Linked DNA regions of Macaca mulatta. The protein of the gene in region 5 interacts with the protein of the main gene of each other region in a biochemical or structural test. Links are inferred from orthologs where the notes say so. Each region holds a gene or a part of one and is shown on either strand. Other genes may lie near its edges. The genes, in order: ADRA1D, WWTR1, SCN5A, CYSLTR2, SNTA1 and KCNJ4.

Evidence for each region.
Region 1: the proteins of SNTA1 (region 5) and ADRA1D interact in a test that uses a peptide from one of them, tested with the Homo sapiens proteins (2 studies listed by BioGRID and IntAct). The link is inferred for Macaca mulatta from reciprocal best matches to the Homo sapiens genes SNTA1 and ADRA1D.
Region 2: the proteins of SNTA1 (region 5) and WWTR1 interact in a test that uses a peptide from one of them, tested with the Homo sapiens proteins (2 studies listed by IntAct, with this or other methods). The link is inferred for Macaca mulatta from reciprocal best matches to the Homo sapiens genes SNTA1 and WWTR1.
Region 3: the proteins of SNTA1 (region 5) and SCN5A interact in a test that uses a peptide from one of them, tested with the Homo sapiens proteins (2 studies listed by BioGRID and IntAct). The link is inferred for Macaca mulatta from reciprocal best matches to the Homo sapiens genes SNTA1 and SCN5A.
Region 4: the proteins of SNTA1 (region 5) and CYSLTR2 interact in a test that uses a peptide from one of them, tested with the Homo sapiens proteins (2 studies listed by IntAct, with this or other methods). The link is inferred for Macaca mulatta from reciprocal best matches to the Homo sapiens genes SNTA1 and CYSLTR2.
Region 6: the proteins of SNTA1 (region 5) and KCNJ4 interact in a test that uses a peptide from one of them, tested with the Homo sapiens proteins (2 studies listed by BioGRID and IntAct). The link is inferred for Macaca mulatta from reciprocal best matches to the Homo sapiens genes SNTA1 and KCNJ4.

What each region holds. Positions count from the first base shown.
Region 1 is NC_133415.1:79,802,511-79,806,807, reverse strand, and holds the start of ADRA1D (alpha-1D adrenergic receptor), read right to left. Parts: upstream 2,801-4,297; 5' UTR 2,397-2,800; coding exon 1,286-2,396; intron 1-1,285. UniProt on the Homo sapiens protein: This alpha-adrenergic receptor mediates its effect through the influx of extracellular calcium.
Region 2 is NC_133407.1:52,659,138-52,663,372, forward strand, and holds the start of WWTR1 (WW domain-containing transcription regulator protein 1), read right to left. Parts: upstream 2,801-4,235; 5' UTR 2,540-2,800; exon of another isoform or gene 2,385-2,539; intron 2,085-2,384; 5' UTR 2,082-2,084; coding exon 1,651-2,081; intron 1-1,650. UniProt on the Homo sapiens protein: Transcriptional coactivator which acts as a downstream regulatory target in the Hippo signaling pathway that plays a pivotal role in organ size control and tumor suppression by restricting proliferation and promoting apoptosis.
Region 3 is NC_133407.1:100,937,935-100,941,943, forward strand, and holds the start of SCN5A (sodium channel protein type 5 subunit alpha), read right to left. Parts: upstream 2,801-4,009; 5' UTR 2,600-2,800; intron 1-2,599. UniProt on the Homo sapiens protein: Pore-forming subunit of Nav1.5, a voltage-gated sodium (Nav) channel that directly mediates the depolarizing phase of action potentials in excitable membranes.
Region 4 is NC_133422.1:27,896,351-27,899,850, forward strand, and holds part of CYSLTR2 (cysteinyl leukotriene receptor 2), read left to right. Parts: intron 1-2,908; coding exon 2,909-3,500. UniProt on the Homo sapiens protein: Receptor for cysteinyl leukotrienes. The response is mediated via a G-protein that activates a phosphatidylinositol-calcium second messenger system.
Region 5 is NC_133415.1:86,197,626-86,201,658, reverse strand, and holds the start of SNTA1 (alpha-1-syntrophin), read left to right. Parts: upstream 1-1,233; 5' UTR 1,234-1,412; coding exon 1,413-1,722; intron 1,723-4,033. UniProt on the Homo sapiens protein: Adapter protein that binds to and probably organizes the subcellular localization of a variety of membrane proteins. May link various receptors to the actin cytoskeleton and the extracellular matrix via the dystrophin glycoprotein complex.
Region 6 is NC_133415.1:13,109,590-13,112,957, reverse strand, and holds the end of KCNJ4 (inward rectifier potassium channel 4), read right to left. Parts: intron 2,986-3,368; 5' UTR 2,947-2,985; coding exon 1,609-2,946; 3' UTR 501-1,608; downstream 1-500. UniProt on the Homo sapiens protein: Inward rectifier potassium channels are characterized by a greater tendency to allow potassium to flow into the cell rather than out of it.

The DNA.
Region 1 (4,297 bases), about 6.4 Mb from region 5:
GAGGGGGAGAGGGCAGAGAGGGAGACAGCTCTCATTTGAGATCTCCATTGTAGGAAGGGGGACCACATGTCTGCATGGCTCCAGTTCTAGCCTGTGGTCCCGGTGTAAATATTCATAGTGTCCTATTTTGGTTTGGACAACAATGCATTTGAAGGTCACCCTCTCATAGGTGATGATAGAGAGTTTGGATTTTGTTCTCAGGACAGTGGGAAAGCACTGAGGGCTTTTAATAGGAGAGTGACACATCTAATTTATAATATATAAAGTTCACTGTGGCTGCAGTGTGGAAAGGGCTTTCGGGGGCACAGGAAGGAGGCCATTGTCTCTTTCCTGACTCAGCCTGGCAGTGTGGAAGGGTCCAGGCCTGGGAAAGGCAGAGAAGGCCCAGCTTGGGCCTGCGGAGGTTGCAGCCATGGGTGGATCTGACTCCCGGCAAATTTGTCCCCAGAGATGCTCTTCCCCCTCTACTCCTTGCACTGGTCCAGCCTCCAGTCCCAGACCCGGGGCTTCCAAGAGAGGCCTCAAGGGGTAGAAGGCGGCCTCTGAAAACAGCTGCCCACCTCCCAGGACTGCAGGGCAGCTTGTGAAAGAAGCAGGAAAGTTCCCCGGAAGAGCTCAAGGACTCAGTAAGCTCAAGAAATAACGATTAACAATATGAACTTTCCGTTTGATAATTTATCCCTATCCCTGTGCTTCTCATCGCTACACAACCTCCTTCCTTTCCAAGAGGGGATTTCAGAAATGAGAGCCCAGGGCACTCAAAAACACAGCTGGGGAGGGTCTCAAAATGGGGCCAGCTTCCAAACTGAATGAGTGCTGGGGAAAAGCGGGTGGCTTCTGGCATCTGCTAACGTACCTGTTGACTGGCCAGGGCTCGCTGCCCGTGAATGAACACATGGAGGCCCACCCACTCTGTGCACCCACCTCCAGGGAGGGGGATCTGTAGGGGGACACACACACTGCCGACCACATATGGGCAGATGCCTGCCCAGATTTTCACAGACGTTTTATTTTTAGAGGGGCCAGCAGCATAAGCCCAAGGCTTGGAAGAGAAGAAGGGAAGGACAGAAAAGTTAGAAGCCTGTGAAACAAACCTGGCGAGGATGAAGACCCTCTCTTTGGCACTCCACAAAATGGTGCATGCACACCTGCCTCTTAGGAGACTCAGGACTTGCTAAGCCAACTTTCCAGGTTCAGGTGGGGGTCGCCCAAGTCTGGGTGCCACGAGGACACCGCCATAGGCTCAGGGAGAACAGGAGGGGCCGGTGGGAGAGGGGTCACTCACCGAGCGGCAGGACAAAGAAGAAAGGGAACCAGCAGAGCACGAAGACGCCCACGACGATGGCCAGCGTCTTGGCCGCTTTCTTCTCACGGGAGAACTTGAGCAGGCGCACGGAGAGCGAGCTGCGGAAGGTGTGGCCCTTGGCGCTGCGCAGGCCGTGCGCCCCGTCGGCGCCCGTGGCCGCGCCACGACAGTGGATGCGCAGCACCACCTCGGAGGCCTTGCCTCGCTCGCGCTTGACGCCCGCCTCGAGGCTGCGCGTGGTGCTGCGCGCGACCACGTACACGCGGCAATACATGACCACGATGACCGCCATGGGCAGGTAGAAGGAGCACACAGAGGAGAAGACAGCGTAGCCCGCCTCCTCGGTGATACCGCAAAAGCGCTCGTCAGGGGGCACGGGCTCCTTCCAGCCCAGCAAGGGCCCTACGGACACCACCAGGGCTACGACCCAAAGCAGTGCCAGGATGGCGGCCGCCTTGCGCTCGGTCATGATGGCTGGGTACTTGAGTGAGTGGCGCACGCCCACGTACCGGTCCACGGAGATGGTGCAGAGGCTGAGGATGGAGGCCGTGCAGCACAGCACGTCCACGGCGGCCCACACGTCGCAGAAGGCCCGGCCAAAGGCCCAGAAGCCCAGAACCTCCATGGTGGCCGAGAAGGGCAGTACCGTGGCACTCAGCAGCAGGTCGGCCACGGCCAGGTTCACGATGAAATAGTTGGTGACAGTCTGCAGGTGTCGGTTGCAGGCCACTGAGAGGATGACAAGCAAGTTACCTGCCACGGCCATAAGGATGAAGGCTGCCAGGAAGACGCCCACACCCACGCCCTGCGCGCTCACCACCAGTCCCCCGACGGCCGCCGTGCCATTCACGTCGCTGCCCGGGCCAGCGCTCCCCGGCTCCCCCGCGGAGCTCCGGTTGTCCTCGCCGCTGCCTGCGCCAACCACGCCGCCACCGCCGCCCGCGCCCCCCGGCACGCCGCCCACCGCCGGGCCCTCCGAGGGGGCCGCGCCGCCCGCGCTGCCCCCGCCGCCGCCCGCGCTGGAGCCCCCTGCGCTGCTGTCCGGGCGGGGTCCCTCGAAACTGACGCTCAGGAGATCGCGGAAAGTCATCTCAACGCGCGGCCGTCGGTGGCCGGGCCGGGACGCAGAACGAGCGGCCGGCAGGGAGGGAAGCACAGGGCATAGCCGCGGGGCTCCAGATGCAGCTCCGCACGGTCTTGTTGGGGTCCTGCCTAAGTTCCTGTGACGCGGAGCGCGGCTGTCCGAGAGCGGAGCTGCCTGGCCCGGGCGGCGGCCGGGCTCCCCGAGGCCGGCAGTGGACTAGCACCGAAGAGCCGGGGCTGGCGACGCGCGCGGCGCTCTGATCGTGCCCAGCAAGCGGGCAAAGCGGCGGCTCCGGGGCCGGGCGGTGCAGGCAGCGGCCACTGCGGCGCTCCCAACTCGGCGCGGGGGGCGGGACCGAGGAGGGGCAGCGCCAGGAAGGAGGAGGGGGCGACCCGGGCCGAGAGAGGGGCGCCACACCCCAGGGGAGAAGGGACCCTTCGCTCAGGACAAGCGAGTGTGTCGGGGTCTAGGGGGGCTGCGGCGCTGGCGCGTGCTCGGGTCCCGCAGCAGCCACCCACGCCTGTCCGCAAGTGCCCAAGCCCGCCCTCTCCCCTCGCGGTGCCCTTTGCTTTCCTTCCCGCTCCTCTCCCGGACCCCCTCCCCCTTGGTCCTCAGCGGCGTCCCTGTTTCTCCCGCCCTCTCCCCCGAGTCTCTCGGTCACTCGCTGGTGCCCTTGGGCGCGCGGTGCGTTGAAGGCGCGAGTCCCGGGTCTTCGGGATACCGGCTTTGGCCGCCAGAGAGCAGCAAGCGCCTGGGATCTGGGGACTGCGGACCGGACGGCGCAGTGCCGCTGCGGGTTGCCTCCTGGGACTGCCCATATGGATCTGCCGCACCTCCTTTTTCTCAGGCCACTGGCCAGGGCAGGGTTTCAGACACCTCTGCCCAGTGCGATGTCGTGAAGAGCGCCCAGGAAGGGTTGGAAACCTGTTCTGGGCTGAGGCTGGGTACGATGGGCTCAGGAGCAGGATGCTGTGGCTACAGCCCTCGGACCCTGCCCAAGACACGCTGGTCTACATACACTGTTACTTTTCTCTGTATCAGATGCGGGAATAAATCTTTCTGTAGCTACCTACCCTAAATAAGGGGCCTTGTTCTTGTTCTGGCCTTGTTAAGAGGGAGGGTGTAAGTGCCGGAGGGTGGGAAAGGGCACTTGGCAGGATGGTTAAATGGGGCGGGTGTGAGACAGTCTGGCTCCGCATCTGAATCCAGGCTCCGCCCCATATTAACTGTGAGACCTCTTTGTGCCACAGTTCCTCATCTGTAAAATGAGAATAAGAAGTGATGTCTACCTCCTGGCCTGAGGGTTAACTGAGTAAATATGGGTGAGGGCCCCAGAGAAGTGCTTGGGTATGTCAGCGGAGTAGGGCTTGTTCAGGGCAGGCTTTTAACAGGGAGGATGGAAGGCAGAGGAGGTGTGGGGCTGGTATGGACTCCGGATGCAGGTGTGGGAGAGGGTATGAGAAGCTTCTTGAGCAGCAGCAGGACTGGGTAGGGAGAGGCTCAAAGAAATCATACAGTTAGCCAACATAAAAATACCAGCTGCTGGCACATGGCAGGCACCATGCTGGATACACTAACTGTAAGGAGGGTAATGCCATCTCATAGTTGCAGAATGAGGAGGGCTTGAGCCCTACCAGGGAGATGAGGGCCTGTTTGCAGAAGTGTCTGGGAGGGGACAGAGAACCCATAGCCCTAGTGTCCACTGGTTGTGGTTAACACAGGGGCAGGATGTCTGAGTTTTAGATGAGAAGCTGCTTTGGAGAAAAAGTAAAAAACTGGAGAAATGTTGAGAGATGGGTGACCTCCCTCCTCTCCATTGCCCAGTCCAGGAAGATAAAGCTTTTATAATCATATCTTGGAAACAGCTCTTCCATGGCCTTCCCCATTAAATCTTTTATTTTGGTTTT
Region 2 (4,235 bases), on a different chromosome or scaffold from region 5:
AAGGTGGCTCAAGCTTGTAATGCCAGCACTTTAGGAGGATGAGGCAGGCGGATCACTTGAGGTCAGGAGTTCGAGACCAGCCTGGCTAACATGGTGAAACCTCCACTCTACTAAAAATACAAAAATTAGCCAGGCATGGTGGTGGGTGCCTGTAATCCCAGCTACTCGGGAGGCTGAGGCAGGGGAATTGCTTGAACCCGGGAGGCGAAGGTTGCAAGTGAGCCAAGATTGTCCCACTGCACTACAGCGTGGGTGACAGAGTGAGACTTTGTCTCAAAAAAAAAAAAAAAAGTCATGTTATTACATCACATACTTGACTCCACCCGCTACTTAGAAGTCAAAGGACTGAGCACATGTACAAACTATCACTCAATAACCCAGAGAAGACCAGCCGTGGCATAAATGACCATCAAGTCTGTTTCAGAATCTCAGCATTATACCAACCTCAGAAACACAAAAAGAACTCCTTGAACAAGATACTAACAGCCTTGAGATGGGGAAGGAATAGGAATTGGTCACTGGTATGAGTCAAAGGGTTCACTATAGTAAACTTCATCCATCACTGTGTATGCATTCTTAAAGCTCTCTCATAGCAATCAAAGCATCAAATATTAGTGCCAAAGAAAGGCTTGATTAAAGTTTTAAAATTGTACATAGTCTTTTGAACTAAGGCTACTCTACTAAAGAAATATAGGCTTTAAAATGAAATCTAAGTCAGTTTTTTAGGAGAGGAGTTTCCCTCACTGGCAGTGCAGGCAATCCTGAACCAAGTGGTCAGGCTGGCACAACCTCCATCTTTGATAGTCTGACCCTATGACCTCGATGGAACATTTCAAGTTCCAGCTTGGTTTCTCCTGAAGAATGTAGTTATCTTAGGGTACCGCAATTGAAACAATCTCCTCTAGTGTTTGAGAATATATTTTCCTGTGGGGTGTAATGTGATAATTTGAACTAATGTAAAATTCATGACATCAAAAAGCTGGAACAATGTGAAAGGAAGAAGAGCAGGCTTGTGATTTGATGGTATTTTAGGTTAACAAGTTTAATGTAATAAAACTCCTGACACAATTTCCACACGATTGATTTGTCCAGCCCACAGCTACTTCACCACACAGTTGCTAATTACATCACTGTGCTGTGTGGTCATTATGTCACCCAGCTGGGAGCACTACGGCCTACCAGCCACTGTTCACTTTTCCAGCTTGCTTTTCCCAAGAAGACAGAACCTGCAGACCACCTACTTCACCAAAAGTCCCTCTGTTCCTCAAGCTTCACAGCTTTTCTCTCATTTATCTTGGTGTCACATCCCAAAGGGCCTGGCTCTGGACTATCTGACTCAGAGTGGCCAAGGAAGGGACTAAGGGTCTGTGCCCAGGAGTTGGCTTCAATCCTGCAGATTCAGAGCAAAGTCACCTGTGTGTTTTATGGTGGATGAACTTCACCACACTCTCCTCCGCTTCTGATCCCTACAATTCCAACACCCAGAGACTCACTCCCTGCTTCCAGCTCTCCATATCTGTGAAATAACCGTGGAAGGACACACACCATCTCTCTCTCTCTGTGTGTGTGTCACACACACATACACACACGAACACACGCGCGCGTTGGGCACTGTGCCTTGGTGCCGTCTTCGGCTCCAAGTTGACTTACTTCAGGAAGTATCTCTGGCCAGTGGCCGTGAAGGTCATCTCCCAGCCCGGGGGCAGCGGCAGCTCGTCGGTCACGTCGTAGGACTGCTGGCGGAGGTGCGCGTGCTGCTGCGCGGGGCTACCCGCAGCACCCGCGCCGGTGCCCAGCTGCAGGGACGCGGGCGACGAGTGCGAGCGGACATGCTGGGCACCCCCAGCCAGTCGAGGCCCCGGGTGGCCGCCCGAAGAGTCGGTGCTGGACTGGCGCGAGTGCGAGCCCGAATCAGGCTCCTTGAAGAAAGACTCCGGCAGGATCTTCTTCCGCCACGAGCTAGGCTTCGGGTTCATGACAGAGTTGAAGAGGGCTTCGAGGTCTGTGTCTAGGTCCTGCGTGACGTGGATCACTTGCTGCCCAGGCGGCGGGAGCGGAGGGGGCGCCGAGGCCGGATTCATCTTCTGCAAAAAGAAGGTCAGATCAGTCTTTTATTTAAAGTCGGAGGAAGTGGGTAAAAGGGTTATAGGGTGAGAGGGCGAGATGGTGGGAGGAAGAATAGAGGGAAAAGGAAACGAGGAGACAGATAATTGCCCGCCTGGAGATCCCAGACACTCAGCGGTGAGACCAGCAGGATGGGGGAGGGGTCCCTCCTGGCCTCGAGAATTATGCAACTTTCTTGAAGCAAAGAAGTTGCCGGGAGGAGGAGAAGGAAGGGCGAGGGGTGGAGGGAGTAACTGCACTCGAGGCTTGCTGAACCGCAGGATGGCAAAGGAAAGGTCGCAGCTTTCCCGGACAGGCAGCCCCCCGAAAGAAGTTCAGCCCGAGCCAACTCCACCACGTCTCGACTCCGGAAGCCTGGGGAGCCTGGAGCCCTGGAGTGGTGCCGGGTGAGCGCGCGAGCTCCAGCGGGCACTACCTGGGCGGGCAGCGAAGCTGAGCCTGAGAGCGAGGCGGCCGCCGTCCCGCCCGAACTTGCCGTCGGGCCTGGGTCGCTCGGGTGAGTCCCGAGATTGCGGAGCTGGAGCCGAGGCTTGGCTGACAAATCCTGACCCGACTCGGTGCCTGGCAGTCTAGGGGCTTCGGCTCTCACATCCCCCGAGCTGGCCTAAGGAGCTCGCGCTGGGCGAAAAGGAGGCGCAGGAGAAGCAGACAGCGCGGCCGCAGCAGCTCCCGGACTGTCCCATAAACAAAGTTTGGAGCAAACTCCCACCCCCAGGAAAGAGGCGGGCCCGAAAGTTGAGCTGTTGAATTATGTATGACCTCCTAGTCCCGAGCCGGCCGGCCCCCGCTCGCCCCTCCTCTTCCTCCTCCTCCTCCTCCCACTCCGGCTCCAGAAAACCCTGGGCGTGATGGGTACTTTACTGGGTAAGAGGAGACGGGTGCCCCCCACCCACTGCTCCCGGCCACGCGGACCTCTCCCGCGGAGCCCTGCATCTGCGTTCCTTTGAGTTTACCACGGACTTGGGGCGGGATCAAAGGGAAAGTGGCCTGAGCCTGTTTCATCAAGGGCTTGTGGACCGAAACCAAGGCCGGGGGTGGCGGAGGGCAAGCGGATGAGGGGCTCAGGCCTAGGAAGGGCCGGTCCTGGACACCGCGCCCTCCCCTGCAGCCAGACGCCGAGGCCGGCAGCACCCGGAGCGCCGCGCTGACCAGCGATTCTGCCCGAAGGCCGGCCCGGGTGCGCCCCGGCGTGGGGAGACTCCAACAAGGCCAGCCTTTCCACGAGAGGCTGCTTAGCTCTTGTGACCATATTTGGTCTGGCGAGGAGGCATCTTGGCTGCCTGGCTCTCAATTGTCTGCTAGAGCACAGACGGTGCCCAGAAAGTGCCTCTGTCACTGGAGATGCGGCTTCGCCAACGGGTGGGTTGTAAACAAACAACTTTCAAACCATTCATCAATCCTTAATTTCCTCTACGGGGGTGACTCAGGCCACTAGGGATTGAGAAGAAACCGGGTCAAAGCTGGGTGCTGGAAGAGAAGAGCAGTTGCGCCCCCCTCCCCCGCAACATCCGTGAGGGTTGTGGGAGGATTGGAATGTCCCTGCCGCCCTCCAGGGAGCCTGGAGCTGGGATGGAACCCGAGCAGGTGGCTAGGAGTAGGGAGGGTGCGCCAATGACCCGAAAAAAGCCACCCACCTTCCCACCGACTAGATCTGGGCGAGGGGTGGAGACCCCCTGCCTCTAGCTAAGGGAAGAAGGTCAAGCCTGGCGAAACAGCTGCGGGAAGTGGGAGGAGGCCTTGCCCTTCAGAGCAGCTCAATTTCTTTTCTCTCTGGTTCCCTTTCCACTGAAGGGAAAGGGTGGGGGGAGATGGCGAGGTAAGCCAAATTCCAGGAAACCCCTACCCCACTCCATTTGATTCAAATAGGAGTTTATTAAGTAAATCAAATGAGACAATGTAAAGCACTTCTCACAGCACCGGGCTGATTACATAAGTGTTAAAACAGAACTGTATGTTCTTCAAGTTCACGTACTGTGCCTTAATTTTTCTTTCTTTCTTTCTTTCTTTCTTTCTTTTTTTTTTTTTTTTTTTTTTTTTTTTTGAGGGAAGTCTCGCTCTTGTCCCCCAGGCTTTAGTGCAATAGCTCTATCTCGGCTCACCGCAACCTCCGC
Region 3 (4,009 bases), on a different chromosome or scaffold from region 5:
CACCTCTCCTTCAATGGAAAGACTTCAGATGGCACCCATGGTCTGAGCTGGGGAGGTGGTAGAGTACACAGCAGATATTGACACTTGGGCTCAAACCCAAGTTCTGCTACTTAGAAAATGTGATGGTATGCAACTATTTAACCTTTCTGGACCCCCAGTTTCACCATCTGCAAAATGGCCATTATGATGGTCCCTATCTCTAGGGTTGATGCAAGGATTCAGTGAGATTAACCTTATAAAGCGCTTAGTGCCATGCCTGGCCTGCAGAAAGCACTCAGTGAATGTTAGCTATTTTTAGTAACATTACTGAGGATAAATTCCCAATTCCTGAGCAGAGCTCACAAGGGCCCCCGTGACTGTGACCTTGGCTTTAACTCCGCTCTTCTCTTCCTCACACCATGGGGCCCAACGAATCACTCAACTAATAATTGTGCTGTTTCACATTTCTGTGCTTTTGTACACACTGGTCCTAACAGCTAGACTACATTGTCCTTGCCTGGAAAACTCCTATTCACCCTTCAAAACCCAGTGTGGAAGGTTATTTTTGTTAGAATAAGACTCTTGACTATCCCAGTCAAAGGTAACCACCTCTCCTGTGAGTGGGCTCTGGGGACACACTTCTATCACTGCACACCCTTCCAATAACCTTCCCAAGAGTGAGCAGAAGCCAGCCTCCTCTGAACAGAACACAGACTGCAATTTGGCACTGTCCCTGGCTGCCCTCAGGACTCCCTTCTCTTTGGATTGCCTGGGCACCAGCCTCCGCTGTTCCCCCATCCCCAGCTGTCTTGGTGCTTCCCACCAGTCCTCCGAGCCCAATCTTCATGCTAAGTGAGTCAATCCTAGAATTTTTCCAGGGGAGCTTTGATCAACACACAGAGAGGGGGCTGAGCACCTTAGAGCCCAGCAGCTGCCCATGCTGCATTGGGCTGAATGCTGGCTCTTGGCACCCCAGGGCCAGTTCCCCTTCTGCCCAGATCCTCCTGGCTCAGTTCTAGGATCTCAAGGTATCTTCACACTGAGTGGTGCCCCCAATCCACTGATTCTCTAGATGACTTTGAATAAGTCCTTGAGCTCCTCTGGGCCTCAGTATCCCCACTTGTACAATATGGTGGTGATGATATGATTAAAAGTTTAATGAGGCTCTTTTCAGCACAGAGTTGGACACTGTAACATAGAAGCTGTGTTCCACACCCTGGCTGTCTGTCGCCTGACTTCACCCTCTCCGTGCTCCTGCGACAGCAGCCTGACCACCCTCATTCCACCTCTCACTCATTACCATCAATTCATGTGCACCTGCCCAATTCTAACCGAATGGAGTTGAGGGCAGTGGCAAGGGCCTGGGCCCCCAGTAGCTGGGGCCTCTGCTGCTCAGGGTCCCACTAGATCCTGAAGGATGGTTGGAACTTGGGAGAGGGCTTTGGATGCCATGGCATGGTGGGGGTCACGTGGTGTGACTGTCGGGATGATACTGCCTAGGCTCACTGGGAGAGACACCTGGGGTCTCAGCAGGAGGCAAGCAGATGCCTGGGAATGGAACATAGGCCCAGGACCTTAAGAGGAGATAGATCCCATGGCCCGGGGCTCGGCTGAAGGCACTAAGGAGCACAAGAGTGAGTCCTGCACTATCTTAGCCATGGCGTCCTGATCTGGCTGTGCGCTGCTCTCCAACAGGTGTTTGCAAGTCAGGCCTACAGCCAGCGACTTGTCCCCAACATCATTTCCCCCCATCCTCATCACCACCACTAACAGTGCCCACACCTCTGGCCCCCACCAGCCCTTGGCGTCTCGGACAAGGCTTGACACCTCTACTTTCTTCCAGGGCGCCACCAAAGACGATCAAATAACACAGAGGTCAAGAGCCACCTCCCATCAGGGTGCGTGGATCTGTCCGGCTCAGAGAGAGGGGGGCAGAGAACTCTCTCCAATCTCAGCGCACAGAGATCTCTACCCCTTCGAGAAGCACAGAGATCAGATAGAGGAGATGTGGCCCCTTTAGGGCGTCAAAGGGCACCGAGATCTCTACGTGGTCTAAGCGCGCAGAGATCTCGTCCCACAGAGAGGACAGCCCCAGCGGACGGTTCCCCCTGGGCCCAGAGAAAGGGGGTGCGTGGCTTCCTCCCCCATATCCAGCCCTGCTCAGTCAGCCCCCGCAGCTCCCGCTCTCTGAAACCACATTCACTGCGCGCCCAGTCGCCGCTCTGACCTTGGGGTCTCCGGCCTCCGGAATCCGGGTCCCAATCCCAGACCCTCCCCGAGCCTGCGCCAGGGATGACCGGGAAGCTGGGGCCGCAGCTCCCCCTCCCCCGGCCCTCGACAGCGCACCGGGAAACCCGGAAGGAAAGAGAAGGGAAGGGGGGCGCACGGTGATTAGAGACGTCTCCCCCGGGGATCCCCTCCAGCCGGGCGGATCTGCGCCCCTTCTCCCCCTCCGTTTCTCTGGGGCACTGATCGGGGAGGGAGCGGCTGGGTGGACCCGGGCAGGGGAGGAGCACGCTGGGGCTGGAGGCTTCGGCCCTCGGGGAGGAAAGTTGGGCGGCGGCAGGCGGAGGGGGCTCCGGCCGGGCCAGGGCTGCCGGGCGCGGGGGCGCTCGCTCACCTGCTGGTCCCCCGGCCCGGCCCCGGGGTGGGCGGCTGCTGCTCGGCGCGGACTCGGCTCGGCGCGGGGCTCGGGGCACTGGGCGCAGGCTCAGTGGCCCCGGGGGAGCGATCCCCGCATCCTACGGGCGCCGCCGCCGTCTCGGCTCCGCGGCTCGGTTCGGGCTCCCGGGCTGGGCAGGCGGCGCGCGGGCTCGGGTTGGGGGCGGGGTCGGGGGCGGGGTCGGGGCGGGCCCCGCCTGGGCTCGGCCTGGGGCTTGGGGCCCCGGGCTGGCTCCGCCCCAGAGCGACGCGCCCGAGGCTCCGCACGTGGCGCTCCGCCCGCTCGGAGGTGGGGGATACACCGGCTCCCGCCGGGGTACACACTCCCACACTGACCCGGGGGCGCACAGCCACAGACAACCGCCCACGCGGCCGCGGACAGACAGACACAGGCGGGGGTACACACACGCCGACCCGGGGACGCTTTGCCACAGATGGCCACCCACGCGGACGCGGACAGACACACATTAACAAACACTGGCATATACACCAGCACACGCCGGAGTACACACACACACACACACACACACACACACACACACACACAACCTTGCTGACTTGGAAAGGCTACATCAGACACCCACCCACCCACGTGGACATGGGCGTATACTGACACTCATGCCGAGACAGACACACGCTGCCATAGGCATACCTGCACTGACACAGACACACACATGCACCCTGAGACAGATACACACCCCCACACACCCACACAGACCCAGACAGACACATCATTGACACACACTGACACTGAGGAAGACACTCTGACAAACTTAGACACCCACATGACTTAGACACACATCCACTGACACACTGACACAGAGACACACACACTCACTCGAACCACACTTTCCTGGAGACACACTTAGTGATGCCACAGAAATCTGCACAACGGTACACACTACCTGAACATACTGACGCACATGCTCACAGAACCAAACACACACCCAGACCCAGAAGGAAGCAGGCAACCAACACAGAGACACCCACACGCGCACACACAAACACACACACACATATATACATGTATACACACATATATGTATGTATATGTGTGCCTGGAGTCACATACCCACACACCAACTGTTTCTCACTCAGAGACATGGTCACAGGCACACACACACGGAGACATATGCTGACAAACAGTTGCTCACACGCCCATGCCCAGGACCTATGGGGACACACTTCTTGTTTAAACAAAACAGGCCATCAGGGCAACCCGCTTGGGTCCCCTTCCACGCTGTAGAAGCTTTGTTCTTTCCCTCTTCACAATAAATCTTGCTGCTTCTCAAAACAACAACAACAACAACAAAAACAAAACACAAACAAAACAAAACAGGTCATCAGCTTTTGCCCACAGATCACTACA
Region 4 (3,500 bases), on a different chromosome or scaffold from region 5:
TCAAATTATCTACTTAATGTTGAGTGAGTTATTTTTCATTTTATGAGGAATTAGTCTAGTTCCTCTAAGTTGTGAAATTTATGTTTGTAGGGTTATTCAAAGTTTTTCTCATTATTCTTTTGATGCCTCAGGTATCTATTGATAGTGTTATCTCCTGTTTTATTCCTGACAATGGAAATTTATGTCTGTTCTATTTTTTTTTGTACCTCTTGCTAAAGATTTGTCAGGAGATGTAATATTTTATTTAATATATGCAATTTTTAGTTCATTATTGTCTTCATCTGTTCTGCTACTATAAGAAAGTTACCTGGCCAGGCATGGTGGCTCACGCCTGTAATCTCACACTTTGAAGGCCAAGGTGGTAGGATCACTTGAGCTCAGGAGTTCAAGACCAACCTGTGCAACATGGAGAGACAGCATCTCTACAAAAAAGAAAAATAGCTGGGCATGGTGGCATGCACCTGTAATCAATTGTATTGATTGTTTTCAAATAACCAGTTTTTCATTTCATTTTTTCCCTATTTTTTTCTGTTTTCTATTTCTTGATTTCTGCTCTTTACTATTTCCTTCCTTTTGCTTGCTTTTTTCTTCTTGAGGATGGAGCTTATATTCTTATTTCGTGACTTTTCCTTTTTGTAATGTATGCATTCAGTGTTATACAGTTTTGTCCTAATACTGCATTTGCTACATCTTACAAATTTATATTTTCACTTTTATTCAGTTCAATATATTTTTTGTTTCCCTTGAGACTTCCTCTTTGACCCATGGATTATTTAGAAGTGTGTTGTTTAGTTTTCAAGTGTTTTGAGGGTTTCCTGTTATCTTTCTGCTGCTGATTTCTAGTTTGATTCCCTTGTGGTTAGAAAACACATTCTATATTATTTCAATTATTTGAAATCTATCGAGGCTTGTTTTATGTCCCAGGATGTGGTTTATCTTGGTATGCGTTTTGTGAACACTTAAAAGCTTAAGTATTTTGCTCTTGTTGGGTGAAGTGTTTTATACATGTCAATTTGATCCTGTTTGTTGATGGTGTTTTTAGTTTTTCTATACCTTTGTTGAGTTTTTGTCTATTTGCTTCATCAATTGCTGAGAGAGGTCCTTGAAGTCACCAAGTATCTCTCCTTTCAGTTTTATCAGTTTTGCTTCAGTTTTGCCACTCTGTTGTTTGGTGCATACCCATTTAGAATTGGTATGTCTTCTTAGTGGTTAAACCCTGTTATTATTATATAGTGTCCCTCACTGTCTCTGGCAATGTCCTTTGCTTTGAAGTCCATTTTATTTGATACTAAAAGAGCTATCCCTTATTTCCTTTGATTTGAATAGCAAGCATTTTTCCATCCTTTTACTTTCAACCAGCCAATACTGCTATTTGAAGTGTTTGTTGTAGGCAGTACATAATTGGGTCATTTAAAAAATATATTCCATTCCTCTATCTTTTACTTGGTATATTTAGATTACTTATATTTAATGTAATTATTGATGAATCAGGGATGTCTGCCATTTTATTTTTTGTTTTCTGTTTTTATTGTCTCTCTTCTTTTTCCTGCCTTGTTGTTGGTTATCTGAATGCTTTTTAGAATTCCATTTTTATTTATCTGTAATGTTTTTGAGTGTATCCCTTTGTATATCATTTTAGTGGATGCTTTAGGTATTTTCTCTCTATATATATATATAAAGATATATATATGTATATATATAAAGATCTATATGTATATACATAGATATATATATATAAAGATATATAGGTGTATATATATCTTATGATAGTCTATTAGCATCATCATTCTACCAATTCAAGTGAAGTATAGAAAACTTATTTCCTCTTACATCTCTTTACCTTCCCTCATTTATAATATAATTGTCTTAATAATTCCTCTACATCCATTTAAAACCACATCAGGCAGCATTAACATTTTTATTTCAAAACATTAAATGTAACTTAGACTCTAAAAGAGAAGGACAGCCTATTGTATTTACACATATTTTGGCTTACCATGTTCTTTCTTATTTTCTAATATTCTAAGATTCCTTATTTTATGAATTCCTTTCTGCTTAGATAACTTCCTTTAGTCATTATTTGTTGTTGTTGTTGTTGTTGTTTTTAGATGGAGTTTCACTCTAGTTGCCCAAGCTGGAGTGCAATGGTATGATCTCAGCTCATTGCAACTTCTGCCTCCCAGATTCAAGCAATTCTCCTGCCTCAGCCTCCCATGTAGCTGGGATTACAGGCACCTGCCACTAGGCCCAGCTAATTTTTGTATTTTTAGTAGAGATGGAGTTTCACCATGTTGGCCAGACTGGTCTTGAACTCCTGACCTCAAGTGATCCACCAGCCTCAGCCTCCCAAAGTGCTGGAATTACAGATGTGAGCTACCATGCCCAGCCTGGTCATTCTTTTAAGATAGATCTGCTGACAACAAAGTCTCAGTTTTCTGTCTGAAAAAGTCTTGATTTTCTCTTTGTACTTGAAGGATGTTTTTGCTGGACGTAGAATGCTAGGTTGGCAGGTCTTTTCTTTCAGCATTTGAGAAATGTGCCATTTCCTTCTGTCCTCCACAGTTTCTGATGAGAAATCTGCTATTCAGTAGTTTTAGGCTGCAATATCACAGGGAGGTATTCATGTCAACATGGGCACCAGGTCACAAGTTCCCTAAGTTTGAAGTGTCAACTTCGACCAAACAAATTAATGGCTATTCTATATTCAAAAATCAGGAAGTTTAAATTTATTATGAAGTGTAATGCAGCATATATTAAAGACTTAACCAGCGTTTTAAAACTCAACTTTCAAAGAAAAGATAGTATTGCTCCCTGTTTCATTAAAACCTAGAGAGATGTAATCGGTAAGCAAGAAGGGAAAAGGGAAATTCACAAAGTAACTTTTTATGTCTGTTTCTTTTTAACCCAGCATGGAAAGAAAATTTATGTCCTTGCATCCATCCATCTCCGTATCAGAAATGGAACCAAATGGCACCTTCAGCAGTAACAACAACAGCAGAAACTGCACAATTGAAAACTTCAAGAGAGAATTTTTCCCAGTTGTATATCTGATAATATTTGTCTGGGGAGTCTTGGGAAATGGCTTGTCCATATATGTTTTCCTGCAGCCTTATAAGAAGTCCACATCTGTGAATGTTTTCATGCTAAATCTGGCCATTTCAGATCTCCTGTTCATAAGCACACTTCCCTTCAGGGCTGACTATTATCTTAGAGGCTCCGACTGGATATTTGGAGACCTGGCCTGCAGGATTATGTCTTATTCCTTGTATGTCAACATGTACAGCAGTATTTATTTCCTGACCGTGCTGAGTGTTGTGCGTTTCCTGGCAACTGTTCACCCCTTTCGGCTTCTGCATGTCACCAGCATCAGGAGTGCCTGGATCCTATGTGGGATCATATGGATCTTTACCATGGCTTCCTCAGTAATGCTCCTCAACAATGGCTCTGAGCAGAAGGGCAGTGTCATATCATGCTTAGAGCTGAATCTCTACACAATTACT
Region 5 (4,033 bases):
ACAGGTGTGAGCCACTGTGCCCAGCTGGGGGTGCTCTTAGCTACTCCAGGAGGCTAATGTAAAGATGAGATAACACATGGAAAATACTCTGCTAGCCCTAGCTAAGAGTAAGCAGTCACTAAATGAAAGTGATTATAGCATAGAGTCACAGTTTACCACGTGTTTTCACATTGATTTAATCCTCACACCAGCCCAGTGAAGTAGGTATTATTATGATCCACATTTTACAGATGAGGAAATTGAGGCCTAGAGCAGTAACGTGAGGGGACCAAGGTCGACTTGGAGCTAACACAGGCAGCAAGGATTAGAAACCAGGTCTCCAGAGGCCCAGACCCAGAGCCCCACCTTGCAGCCTTCTTCCCCCACACTAGGAGTTCTGGGTTTTTCTGCCAGGCCTCAAAGTGTGGGACTTCAGGCTTTTCTATACTTGACTGCGAACACAGCCAGGGATTAATCTCTTAAACTTCCCTCCAGTTTTGAAGTGGGGATCCTGCCCACCCCCTCCCCAAGCCCTAAGTGGAGTCGGCAGCTCTCTCCTCCGGGGGCGGGGCCTGTCCTCTTTAGAAGCCACGCCAACGATAAGCCACGCCCACAGACCAAAGCCTCGACCACCTGATGGGAAACCAGCTTCTTCCTCAGCTCCCCAACTAGCAACTCTGCCTGCAAGGTCTCTCGCGGCTCAGCGTCCACCTTTCTGTTTTTTTGACACAGGGTTTCGCTCTGTCACCCAGGCTGGAGTGCAGTGGCGCGATCGCGGCTTACTGAAGCCTCGAGCCTCTGGGCTGTCATCTAGGCCTCCCAAGGTGTTGGGATTACAGGCGTGAGCAACCACGCCTGGCCGGTGTCTACCTCTTAAACTCAAGCCCTGGAGCCCAGACCACCATACGCAGCCCAGTCCTCCGCCATATGCAGCCCAGCCCGTTGCCCAGTGCTTCGCACCAGGATACGTGGTTCTGTTTTTTTTTCATGCGCTCCCACGTCCGGGAGCTACAGTCCCGGCCCTCGATGGACATGCCGAGCGCAGAGCCCACTGCGCGGGCTGATTGGGTTCCGCCCACGACGCGAAGCCCCGCCCCCCGACGCCCCGCCCAGCACCGCGCCTCCCGGGCTTTTCGCCTTGCCTAGTGGTCCCGCCACGCCGCCCTTCTGACTCGCCCTCTAGGTAGTCTCACACTGCGGCCCTCGGCTCCCGGGCCCCGCCCCGGCCTCCCGCATTTGCCCGAGGCCCAGTCCCCAGCACTGGTCACACCCCCGGGTAGCCCCGCCCCTAGATCGCCTCCCCCAGCGGCCCGGGTAGGGTGGCGGCTGGCCCAGCGGGGCCCCCGCTGCCCTCTGCCCTGGGAGCTTGGTCGGAGCGGGCTGGGCACGGCGGGACAGGGCAAGCGCGGCGTCCCGGGGTCTCGGAGGCGAAGATGGCGTCCGGCAGGCGCGCCCCGCGCACCGGGCTGCTGGAGCTGCGCGCCGGGGCGGGCTCGGGGACCGGCGGGGAGCGGTGGCAGCGGGTGCTGCTGAGTCTGGCGGAGGACGTGCTGACCGTGAGCCCCGCCGACGGCGACCCTGGTCCCGAGTCCGGCGCTCCGCGGGAGCCGGAGCCCGCGCAGCTCAACGGCGCCGCAGAGCCGGGCGCGAGGGCCCCGCAGCTGCCAGAGGCGCTACTGCTCCAGCGGCGCCGCGTGACGGTGCGCAAGGCCGACGCCGGTGGGCTGGGCATCAGCATCAAAGGTGGGCGCGGGACACCGAGGGCGCGGGGTCGTGGTGTCTGGGGGCCGCCGAGGGAGCAAGGGACTGGCAGCGCGCCCAGGACATGGAGCTGGAGGCCTCCTGTCCGGGGGTAAGGGAGGTCTGAGGAAACAGGTAACGGAGGGCACTGGGCGCACCAAGGTCGGAGTGGGTTTCGGTAGTTGGTGGCCTTAGGGGGCACGGAAGACACAGGTGTGGAGGAGATTGTGGGAGCACCAAGGACACGTGGGTGGGAGTTCTGTGTGGAGGTGTGGGGGTCTGAGAGGCAACCAGCATGAACATCAAGGACAAGAGGGGTCCCCCGGAAAGCAGAGGGTGGAGAAAGGGGGTTGAGGCCGGGATACTAGTGGGACAGGGAAGAGGGAGTCCCTGAGAAGCAACCAAGGTGGGTACAGAGGGGAGGCCTGCAGTCTGCGAAGCACAGGGGTGGATAGGAGGCCTGGGTGCAGGCACAGACTGGGGTCACAGGCAGAAGGCCAGCAAGGACCTAGGAATCTAAGGACCCAGGAAGGCTGCGGGGAGCCCTGACAGCTGGATTTGGGTCTCCTGATCTGACCATCTCCACCTTGCACAGGATGGAGCTTTCAGTCCCCAGGACTGACTGCTAGTGGGGTGCAGTTAGGGTGCAACCAGACTGTGTTTGAATCGAGGATCAGCTGTGTGAGGTTGCAAAAGTCCCGTCCCGTCTCTGAATCTCAGTTGCCTCAATTGTATAAGAGGATGATAGAGTTGTGATGTTTCTGAGAGCAGGGCTCACCACACCAGCACATTGTAGGTGCCTTAGTTAATTACTGCTGTTAGCGGAGAGGAAAAATGGAGGCCAGGAGATACTCCCAAAGCAGCTAAACATAGTTCTCAAAATCCTTGCACACCCCCAGCTGCTGGGTTCACTATGCTTGCCCATCGGCTTCTCAGGATCCCAGCCCCTAGCAGGGTGCTTTGGGAAAGGGTGTCAGCCTTTGTTTCCACCTTGAATATGTACCGTACCCTCTGGGGTCTCCCTGGTACTGGTTCTGTTGATGAGTGCCTCCAGACTGTTTGGCTTGGCTGAGGTGGTGCAGATAGTGGTGAATGCCACCACTGTGTGCCAGGTGCTGTGCCCAGGACACTAGTCTCATGATCCACTTCATCCTGGCAACAAGTGGTGAAAGGTAGGGAGTATAATCCCCATATTGCAGATGGAGAAACTGAGACTCAGAAAGGTAAAATGATTTTCCCACCATTACACAGTGAGTGTCAGCGCTGGGATTTGAACCTTAGTTATCAGCTACTGTCCCCCAGAGAGTGCTCAGGGAAGTTGATTCTTTTCCTGTAGAAGGGCAGATCCCCAGGCACCCAACCAAGAGAGGCTAAAAAGGGGAAATGGGAAAATGAGGGTATGGGCACCAGTCTTACCCTCAATCTCCAGCATGGGATAGGGCAACAGACCAATCCAAAAATTATACACTCAGTGTGTCAGAGCAGGAAGGAACTTATTCATACAGAGTTCCATTCTGCAGATGGACGCACTGAGACTCAGAAAGGATCAGGGACTTTCCAGGGTCACACAAAGTTACTCCCCAGCTCCATACTTCTAGGTGGAGGGGAAGGTACTTTTAGGAGACTTCAGGTATTTCCACTGGATCCAAATCTGGGCTCCTGTTGCCATGGTAACCCCTCCTATAGAGTCTAGCTTAGTCTGAGGCAGCCATGAGTGATCATAGCTTCAAACTGAACTGAAGCCCCTAGTTTCAGGTGGGGGAGGGCAGATATAAATAGAAACCCCTTCCTCTCCTAGACTTCAAGCTCTGTGCAGATAAGCAAACGGTGGGGCCTGCGTGGGTGTCAAGAGAGGTGTTCCAGTCCCAGCTCCGCCAGCAGCTTGTGTGACCTTGGAACAATGACCTCCCACTCTGGGACACTAATTCTTCATCTTCAGTATTCTGGGGATGAGCCAGGAGTGTGATATCTGAGGGCCTGACTTGCCGTCTGTGGTAGGGTTAATAGTGTTGGTTCTTGAGCCTGGAGGCCTAGGTGCAAATACTGGCTTGCTTTGCTACTTACTAGTTGAGTGACCTTGGACAAGGGGCTTCCCTCCACACTTCAGTGTCTGTAATAGGAAACTGAGCATGCCTACGTGATGGGATATTGTAAAGACGCAATGTTGGCATTTGGTACATGCAACTAAGGTGACCTATTATTACTATTTCTTATTTTAAAAGGGCATTTAAGAGTTTGGTAATAAAGCCGTTTAGTAAAATGTATTAGCTTCTTTTGTATCCAAGATGCCATTCAGGTAGGTTTTTAGAATCGC
Region 6 (3,368 bases), about 73 Mb from region 5:
ACACACAGGCACACACATAACACACAGGCACACACAGGCACACATACTACACAGGCACACACATAACACACAGGCACACATACTACACAGGCACACACCTAACACACAGGCACACACAGGCACACATACTACACAGGCACACACATGACACACACAGGCACATACAGGCACACATACTACACAGGCACACACCTAACACACAGGCACACACATAACACAGGCACACACATAACACACAGGCACACACCTAACACACAGGCACACACATAACACACAGGCACACACATAACACACAGGCACACACAGGCACACATACTACACAGGCACACACATAACACACAGGCACACATACTACACAGGCACACACATGACACACACAGGCACACACCTAACACATAGGCACACATACTACACAGGCACACACATGACACACAGGCACAATTACATGTGTGCTTGCTCACTGTCTCTCCTTCTCACCCCTCCATCTTCAACCAGCCAACCCCAATGGACCATATACTTTATTAAAAATATATAGTTATGGCCGGGTGCGGTGACTCACGCTTATAATCCTAACACTTTGGGAGGCCAAGGTGGGTGAATCACCTGAGGTCAGGAGTTCGAGACCAGCCTGGCCAACATGGTGAAACCCATCTTTACTAAAAATACAAAAATTAGCTGAGTGTGGTGGGTCATGCCTGTAATCTCAGCTACTCAGGAGGCTGAGGCAGGAAAATCGCTTGAAGCCGGGAGGCGGAGGTTGCAGTGAGCCGAGATTGCTCCGTTACACTCCAGCCTGGGCAACAAGAGCGAAACTCCGTCTCAAATATATATATATGGTTACAAACTCCGTCTCAAATGTGTATATATATATATAGTTACAAACTCTATTGTCAATCTGGGCTGGGCCCCGGGGCCGGAGGGACTGCAGGGAGGGAGGGATGCTCCCTCATCCCACCCCTCAGAGTCCCTCCTCTGCACCCAAACTCAACACCATCCAAGGGCCAAGGTGGCTGGCTTTGCAGGCCTCAAGGGGCCAGCCAGCTGGGCAGGGGAAGGGGCTAGGCTTGATGGGCAGGGTGGGGAAGGGTGCACAGAGAGGGACCATATCTCCTTGTCTGGCAGGTAAAAACGGCAGAAGGTGAATTTGGTGTCTCCATCTGTCTCCATTTATAGATATTTACAAAAGAAAGTCATGAGCAACAGGCCACAGTCATGCAAAAGAAACGCACCCCCCTCCCCAAACTAACCCCCTGCCCACCCTGAAACCCCGAGATGTCTCCCACCCAGCAGTCCAGTCACCTTCCCCAAGGTTCTGAGAGCAAAGAGGGCACGTCCTTGAAGAGTCAGTGGGGGAAGGGTGGTGGATCCGGGGACCCAGAGCCACCAGGAGTAGGTGCTGGGGGAACCCAGGCTGATTGGGCCGAGCTCTTCCCAGGCCAGGGTGCTGGAGTCAGGAGGAAGGGGTCCCCCAGTCTTTGAAACCCCCACCTTCCTCCAGAAGGTCCACGGAGCCACGGTTGGCTCTGTCCTGAGTGTGGGAGGGGGTGTCCTGGCATCCTACCCCCGGCAGAGGCTCTTGTGGGCAGTGGTGAGGGCCGGGCCTGGAGGTCAGATAGCAGACTCCCTGCGGTAGGAGATGTTGTCCAGCGGGAGGGAAGCCTGCATGCGCTCCAGGTCCAGGTGGCTGCCGAACTCCAGCATCCGGATGATGCCCGCCTCCTCCTTGGAGCCGGCCTCCAGGCCCAGGCCTGCGGCCACTGCGGCCGCCGCAGCCGCCTCCTCCTCCATCTCCTCTTCCTCCTGGCTCATGAGGGCCAGCTCGTTCTCATAGCAGAAGGCACTGGGAGGGGGCGGCGGGGCGGGCAGCACGGTGATCTTACTCTCCTGCAGCTCCCGGGCCGAGCAGCAGGGTGTGCCGGCCACCTCGTAGGTCTTGTGAAAACGCGAGTAGTCCACCTTGTAGTGGCTCTTCTCCTCAAAGACCACGGGCTCAAAGCGGTGGCCCCACAGGATCTCGCTGGCCAGGTAGGAGCTGCGGGCCTGGGTGGTCATGGCCGTGGCCTCCACCATGCCCTCCAGGATGACCACGATCTCGAAGTCCTCTGACTCCAGCTCCTCCTTGCCCATGCCATAGAGCGGGCTGTCCTCATCGATCTCGTGGACAATGATGATGGGCGACACCAGGAAGATGCGGTCCAGGCCGATGTCATAGCCCACGTTGAGGTCCCGCTGGTCCAGGGGCAGGTACTCACCCTCCTGGGTCATGTAGGGCTTGATGAGCTGGGCCCGCACGTGGGCCTCCACAATGTGGCTCTTGCGTAGGTTACCCACGCGCCACATGAGGCAGAGCTTGCCGTCGCGCACCGAGATGACCGCATGGTGGCTGAACAGCAGCGTCTGTGCCCGCTTCTTGGGCCGCGCCATCTTGGCCATGATGGTGCCGATCATGAAGGAGTCGATGACGCAGCCCACGATGGACTGGACCACCACAGCGATGACTGCCAGTGGGCACTCCTCCGTCACGCACCGGAACCCGTAGCCGATGGTCGTCTGCGTCTCCACCGAGAACAGGAAGGCACCCAGGAAGCCGTTCACGTGCATGATGCAGGGCTTGGGGGCCGCCGGGGCTGCCCCGCCACTGCCCGCCGCCGGCCCGCCCGCCCCGGGCACCCCTGGGCTGGCCTCCAGGTCACCGTGGAAGAAGGCGATACACCAGAAGAGGAGGCCAAAAAAGAGCCAGGAAACAAGGAAGGCCGCGGAGAAGATCATGAGCATGTAGCGCCAGCGCGTGTCCACGCAGGTGGTGAAGATGTCCGCCATGTAGCGCTGCGACTTGTTGCTCAGGTTGGCGAAGTACACATTGCATTGGCCGTTCTTCTTGACAAAGCGGTTGCGGCGTTTCCGCCGGGGCACGTGGGCCTGGCCGTTGCGGCTGTGTCCGTGCATGTCCTGAAGCCGGCGTGGTCACCTGGGAAGACGCAGGGCCTGCGGAGGAGAAGCCAGACAGGTGAAATGCTGGGGAGCAAGGGGCCTCCTCAGGGCCACCCAGACTCAGCCCCTAGACTCTCAGAAGCAGGTGAGCCTGGACCAGGACCTAAGACTTCCTCTGCCGCAGCAGGCGGAGGGTGGCAACGGAGGGGGTTCTGATGACAGGGTCTGAGCCAGTGCCCCTGAGTCCGACCCAGCTTAGAGATAGGGGTCCACAGACCAGGAAGCTAAAGCCACAAGGATCCAGGTCCTAGTCCCTGCCCCTCAACACTGCCCCTCCGGCCCTCCTATGCTCACTGTTCTGGAAGCTTCCTGAGGCCCATCTCAGTTCCTCCCTGTCCCTCTGTCCTGCTTGCCCTGAGCATAGGGAGCCACGGAGG